2 linked regions of the Drosophila melanogaster genome follow. The protein of the gene in region 2 purifies or fractionates together with the protein of the main gene of each other region. This does not show direct contact. Each region holds a gene or a part of one and is shown on either strand. Other genes may lie near its edges.

Evidence for each region. The genes of interacting proteins can lie anywhere in the genome.
Region 1: the proteins of l(3)mbt (region 2) and Lint-1 purify together in Drosophila melanogaster (affinity purification with mass spectrometry; 2 studies listed by BioGRID, with this or other methods). This does not show direct contact.

What each region holds. Positions count from the first base shown.
Region 1 is NC_004354.4:11,147,371-11,151,127, forward strand, and holds the start of Lint-1 (l(3)mbt interacting protein 1), read left to right. Parts: upstream 1-1,952; 5' UTR 1,953-2,343; coding exon 2,344-2,481; intron 2,482-2,554; coding exon 2,555-2,590; exon of another isoform or gene 2,591-2,834; intron 2,835-3,265; coding exon 3,266-3,757.
Region 2 is NT_033777.3:27,271,445-27,275,201, reverse strand, and holds the start of l(3)mbt (lethal (3) malignant brain tumor), read left to right. Parts: upstream 1-1,928; 5' UTR 1,929-2,191; intron 2,192-2,260; 5' UTR 2,261-2,361; intron 2,362-3,005; 5' UTR 3,006-3,428; coding exon 3,429-3,757. Other genes in the region: CG5934 (uncharacterized protein), read right to left, coding at 887-1,239, 1,317-1,371.

The DNA of each region.
Region 1 (3,757 bases), on a different chromosome or scaffold from region 2:
AATAAAGATGACCATATTTTCAGCATGAATCAAGATCAGTTTCATCAATTTGAAATGAGGTGAATAATTTGAATGGATATATTTCGTAAAACGCTGAAAAAGGCATTTGATGACTCATTCCTTTTGGAGACTGAAATGAGTAACTTTTTAAGGATGGCAAGATTGTGAAATTCCTGCGCATCACACCACTGGTGCTGCCCATAAAAGCAGGAAAATTCCTTATTTTGAGTGCCGCCTGTAACGCCGGCAAATTACAAGCACACACACGCACGCATGCACTCGTATTGGTGAGAACCTGTGGACGCTGCGAAGCGCGCCAAAAAATAAAAATGCCGACATACAAATAGTGCAGCGTTTTCTTAGCTCATTTGCTGGCTGGCGAACAGCGCAGCAGTCGCGATTCACGTGAAAATCGCCAATCGCATTTATATATTCTAAATAACAAATCGAATTCTAACACACATACGCACCCACACATGCACACGCACACGGACGACGAACAGACGCAGACAGACGACGACGCCGACGTCGCCGCCGGCAGAAGAAACATGAAGCAAATTCATTGCCGTTTTTTTTTTTTTGCGATTCATGTTTAACCTCACAAAATGCGAATGGCATGGCAGTCGGCGAGAATGTTCCGATGGCCAAAGGACAAGGACATTTGTCCTGCTTCGGTGTGGCGTACGGAGGAGCTGACAGTCCCAATTGGACGGCGCTTTTCCACTGCAGAGCTTGCCATGAGCCGGAAAAGGAGGGATAACAGCACGAGGCGGCACCACGTCGTTTTTCTTTTTTTTTTGTCAGCGAAATCTCTGGAAGCTCTATACGCCACTTGTTTTGTACAACTCTAGCCGGCAATCGGGCTTGTTAACCGGCTGGACTTGGTGGCCGGAAGCCGGGTGGGCGGTGGCCGGGTGGACAGACAGCAAAAGCCGCTGGGTCGGGAATAAAGCACACAATTCCAGGCGAAGCGACGCCGTCGTCCATATTGCATGCGAATTTGGGGCGTCACTGGCGTCATGCCGCACAGCACTTATTCACATCACGGTGGCGAATTAGCCAGGCTGGCAGCGAATTTGCACACAATTTAAAGCCCATTTTGTAGTTCTACTTACATTTTGCTCGAAATTCCTAGAAAACCACAACTTTCTTTTTTGCCGAAACACAATGCAGTGCTGCCAGATTTGAGTGATAAATGAAGTATAGCTGTTGCCTCGATGTTTTCGTTATCGGCCAGTGTGACCGTGCGAGCATAGAGAGGTTCCAAATTCTGGCGCTTACTTATATACCATCCACACCATTTGCAATTATTTAATATAATATATTAAATATATGGCTTAGTAGATATACAGAACACGTGTAGTAACAAAAAAAAAAACTGTCTATCAAATTGTAATGAAACTTTTTGAATAAATAATAAATAAAATTACGAAACTTTTGAGATGCCGTACGACGGAATACGCTCTGTGAGCTGAGTTAAATAATAAATATAAATAATAGTGCAATGTAATAAAATAAATAATAATAAAATAAAGTCAGCGGAGAACTCTTATCGTTAATAGGGCGGTTCATGATATTTATTGGCTGTAGTACTGGAGAAGGTGGCATTTAAACTCCTTCCACTTGTAGACGATTTTCTGCAAAACTGTAGATAAATTTTTGATGAATTTTTTAAGGATCATTACTTAATTAGGCCTACATAAGCCTATAAGCACGGCATTCCGGAACACGCTCTGTCAACAACACCAAACATAAATGACTTTCATGGGTACTTTTTTGTATAGGCTTGTTCATATTTTGACCCATAAAAAAAAAAAAAATAATAAAAAACTTTCCAATGTTCAAAAATTTCACCGTTCCGCCATCGACTCTAACTCATCGACGCTAATTTGATGGTCTTGCGTGCATTTTGGAACACTAAATAACGAAAAATTAATTTTTAAAAAACTTCCCCATGTTCAAAAATTCCACCGTTCCGTCATCGAAGTTATTGACGCACATCGTCCTTATTTCTCCAAATTCATAATTAAACGCATATTAAGATTAAAAATTCGCTACGAGAACGAGCACATGTATTCATCTATCTGGCAACGCCACCAGTTGATGCAACACATTTTTATCTTAAATTGCGAAGTTCCTCGGCCAGATATCAGTTACGAATGTAGTGATCAATCTATCACATTTTCTAACCACATTCGGTTTCAATTCCCACCCCACTCCCTTTCGAAAATTTGCCCAAAATTCCCACAAGTGCATCAATTGCAACGCATCCGAAATCAGTCGCGTGCGTGATTCGTACGATAACCGTCGTTATATATATAGCGTCAATATAATCGGAACAAGATGAGCAAGTACCATAAGGAGCGCAAGTACGCCAAGTTCAGGTACTACATGGAGAAGTACTACGTGCTGCCGCTGGAGCTGAAGAACGACATCATCTACTGCCAGCGATCGCTGCGCGATTTCCTCAAGGTTCACGCGGTAAGTGCACCATGGCTCCTTGGCGAACACCAGTTAATTTGTTTCCTTTGTCTCTGTTCTCTCACTTACGCAGTTGGTCTCGGAGGTCTTCGATGAGCAGGCGGATGCGGTGGGTTTAATGCCAGAAGACTGCAAGTCTTTGTCCTTTGTTCTCTACGCCACGAGAATTCCCGATTCCCCAGGGTGAAGGTGTTCGCCCGTAGAACACCACCCAACCCCCCTCCCACTACACACAACCAAAAAAAAAACCAAAACAAAGAACTGTATGTAGATGAAGCTATGAAACGTAGTACTTAGTTTAGTTTTTTCATTTCAAAGAAACTGATGTACTCGCGATAATTTTCTAGAGTTGGGTTAGAAACATGAAAGAGGCAACTGCGTTTTAAGCAAAACTAATAATGCACAAAAATTGGGTCAAATGTTTTCATTTCCAAAGGAACCACGTTCGCATCTCTGAATTTTTTCGAAATTACTTTCACTTTTTTTTGAAAAGAAGACATATGAGAATTATGTATATGACGAAATCCATCATCTATATGAGCAAATATTGCTGATTTCTTAACAGCATTAATGCGCATATTCTTTAATGCCGCTTTATTTCAATATTTTTCCAACGTGCATCCTTATCCATCAATCTCAACCTCATTTGTGATTGAAATGTATTCCCTTTTTTGCTCAGTGCTTGTGGTCATTAGCGTTTTTAATGGCCATTAGCACCTGTGCAGCTTCCACCTAACAATCCCAGCCACACCTAATGTGACACTCACGTTCTTGTCGTCATTAGGATCCAGTGCAGATGCGTCGCATCTTGGACGAACTGGAGGAGGAGGTGTACGAGATCAATGCCGAGCAGCAGTTCCTTCTGCTACGCCTCAACGATAGCCTACAGGAATTCTCCGTGAAGCTGAAGGAGAACAACATCATGTTCCTGCCGGACATCGCCCATGAGTACGTTTCCGCCCAGGTAGTGCCTTTGATCGTCGATCCCAACTATAAGATTATGCCACAGTCGGTGATGGCTCGTGATACCGAGGAGATGCTTATTCGCAAGCACTTCCTGCTGAGCCAGGACGATGATTCTGGTATGCCGCCGCTTAAGCTCAGCGAATTGGATGAGAATATACCATTGATGCTGGCTCCGCCGGTTAGGGGATTGGGTCAGCAGATCGCCGCCGTTAAGCCGGAGCCAGAGTGGCTCCAAGGCGATGAGGCGACAGTATCAGTGCCACCGCCGCCGCCACAATCGAAGTCGAAGCTGATGAAAGGGTCGCTGGAT
Region 2 (3,757 bases):
GGGAGGGGAAGATACAAAATAGAAACTGCAAATACAAAGGAAGGCCAACTAAATGTTTGCGTTCCATTAATGGCCACTAAAATTGGAATTTCCTACTCAAACAAACATTGTTAAAAGCAAAAACCACAGCGCAAATGTTTTGTTTTTCCCCACACACACACAGCTAGAGCACCAAGTCACACACACACACCTTGCAGTGTATTTCGCAATCACTTTTGTTGCACGTTCAACTGTTCTGGTGTAAGCACGATCACTTTTCTTGTTTTTCCTATAGTTTTGGACTGGTTTTAAAATGTTCCGAGCAGAGACTACGACTTATACACGCTTTCTACGTTATTCGAATACGAAAAGTCACTGCTCAATTTGTTGTTGCACGACCACGACGAACAGCTGGCCGACCAAAGTTGCCAGGCCGTTGTGTAGGTAGGCAGTTCAAAATTTTCAAATAAAATGTGAGCAGGTGTTTTTCTAATAATTGCTAAGATTTATACAAATAAATACATTTTATTATTTAATTAAAAATGTCACTCTGTTGTAAGTTTTGCAATTCGATCATGGCTATTTAGTAAAGCGACCTCTAAAAGCAGCTGGATTGGCAGTGCTGCCATCCCGTTTTCCTTTTCAAATTCTTAAATTGCGTGGGGTATTATTGATTTATTAATTATCTATATAAATTAATTACTTCTATGTATAAAATACATAGCGCGCCATAAGCTTAAGCCTAAACAAATACAAATTCGACAATCGGGCAACTGAAATAACATTGCAATAGCTTAATTTCGAGTGTTACAGATTAAAATATACATGTAGCTCTAGCGTGAACGAGAAGGCATATTTGAGAAGGTTTTTGGTTTCCAGTACCGGTGGGTCGATTGACTATAGAAGATTACTTCTTTTTGGCCGCACTGGGACTGGTGGACTGGAACACCGATGAGGCCGACATCAGGTTCTCGATGTACTGGCCGAGCACCTGGTTCTCGGAGCGCAGCTTCAGATTTTCCTCCTTGACGGAATCGACGCGTTGCGACAGGTCGTCCAGGGTGTTCTGCAGCTCCAGGACCTGTGTGATGAGGCGGGCCTTCTCCTCCCGATCGTCCTGGGCCATTTCCATGGCCTCCAGCGAATTGTGCGATGAATCTGGCGTGGAACTGCGGTTGGTGAACGATGAACGCAACGAGTCCATGGACCTCCCACTGGGCATTCGTCCCGTCGCCGGTGGCTCGTCGTCCGGAATGACCACTGCGTTTTTGGGGGGGATTAGCAATTGATAACATCATCACTCGGGACTCCACCCACTCCCTCCAGTTTTCACTTACCCTGTGGATCCTCGTCCATGTTGGGAATGCTGTCGTCATTGTTTAACAGGGACATGGCTGGCAGTGTTCAGGGGTACTCTTTATTCTATAAAACTTAAACTCTATTCACTTTTGCCAAATTTCTCTTAACAATTGACACGAAAATAAAACTACCCTTTGGGAAGTTGGCCAACACTAGCTGCTGGCGCTGCCGTTGTTTAGTATGAGCGGCGTTTTCCAGTACTAACAGAAGTTTAAGGAGAAGAAGAAGAAGCTGTATTTTGTAATCTTTGAAGCAATTAAATATTGATAAAGTTGCTAAGTTAATGTGCGGTTTTAAATATATACAACTATTCAGAGGACAAACTCTTTTCGTTAAAATTGTTCCGAGAAGGTAAAAAGCTCTGTTGGATATTGCGAAATTTTCCTCTGCACTTATTTTACAATATCAGGTACATGTAAAGCCATCGCTTGATATTAATTTAAGCATTTAAGGCTGCTAAGTAGCGTATTTCCAAAACAGTTAACACCAAACAAGAAAGGCTTCGTTTATTTACCATTTTATTTCCGCCTTTTCAAAATAACCGACATCGGGCGCACACGAATCGGCAACCAGAGTTGCCACCTGAGCCGTTCGATCATAGAAATTAAAATACACACATGCTTTTGCAGTTTTTAATATTGTTGAACGACAGAACGCTTCCGTTTCGATGGCACTGCGTAATGTTTCGAGCTGCTTTAGTTGGCTTACCTGGTGAAAAATGTGCTTAAATTGTTAAGATTTTCCGCCCGATTTCGCTGGCCATTCGTTTTTGCCTGCATTTACGAGGTCGAACGAGCAGTAACACCCTCGCAGCAACAAACTGCAGTTCAATCGAATCATACGGTTAAAGCAGGTAAGCCTACATATCCTGGCCCACCTTTCGACACTCGCGACCTGACTTTCTGAACTTCTATCATTCCAGCCGTGTTCGGCAAGCCAACAGCATCCCGATATCCTGGTTTCCGCCTCCTCCGCGGCTGTACATTTCATTTCGCTCCGCGGGCAAAAACGAATCGCGTGCGGGTAAGTCAACAGTTGGATCCTGGCAGCGGAACCTGTAGACTCTCTGAAAGTGAAAAATGAAGACGCATTCCATGGGCCCTAGACCAAATTCCCTGGCCAGTGGTTCATCCGAACCAAGATAAGAGGTTTCAGTTATTGTGACATTGGGTGGGCTGCTACGTAACATGGGGCTGGGAGATCGGATCGGTTTAGCCATCAAGGGCTCGTAAATGTGGTCGTGAGATGGGATTCAAAGCCCAGAGGAGCTATTTTTAGGTTCTAGTCGTTTTTGAGATAACATAAATCTTTGGGCAGCATAACTAAAAATGGTATCAAAATTCAATATACGTGCAGTGTGGCCGTACTGGGGCAACGAGGTTTTGCCCAATGGCCGCGGGTAAATTGTAAAAACAAAAAAAAAAAAAAAGCAAGCGCAATAAACAGAAATATTAAGGTAGGATAACACAGGTATTGTAACTAATGACTTTAAGCTGCTAGATATTTCCCTTTTTATTGGGACAGATGGCGATTGGCTATTAACAGCGAATATGCATACAAGTTGCAAAGCAACTGCTACCTGCTAGCTATTTTCTGATTACCATGCTTTTGCAGCTTTAAAATCCTTATATAGCATCCAAAACTAAATCCAACTTAACCTTTTTCAGGTAATAACAAACCCAAAGTAACCGTAAATATTTAAAACTAATTCGCAATCTGTGCATTTAAATACCAAATGTTGGTATATTATCAGAACCGAGAAACACGAACAATGAGAGCAAGGAAACGCGCGAAACAATAACTTTAATTCAAAAACTTAACAATTTCTGCGATTTTGATTAAGAGAAAAGTGATTGATGAATATACGGATATAAAGCACAAATCGCGCGATCGAGAACATAACAAATTGCCAAATAGTTTTGTGAAAAGGGGGAATACAAAAAAATACTAACGCCGGTGTGGAGTGTAAAATGCCAAAAACTTTTGTGCGCCTCAACGTACAAACATTGTAAAGACAAGAATATAACTTCGATTTCCGCTGGTTAAAAAAGAAATCAAAAATCCATAGCTCTAAGCATAAACGGCTCAAAATGCTGCCATTGTCGATGGCCAGTGCGGAGGCCAAGCAGCTCCAGCGCAATATATCATTGTCCATGTCGCCAGCGAATGGAGGAGTCATCTCACCATCTACCGCGAATTGCAATGGTGTTGCCTCTGCCTCCGGCGGAAATCCAAATCCCAACAGCCTCCTCACACTAGCTCCGCGCAAGGAGGAGCTACGCTTCCTGCCCCTGGCGCCCATGGGCGGCAACAAGACCTGCAACATCACCATCAGCAATGTCCAGCCAATGAAATCCAAACTAAAGTCGGTCAACATAGTGCCAAATTCCATAAAGTCCGCTGGAGCTGGCGCCACTGT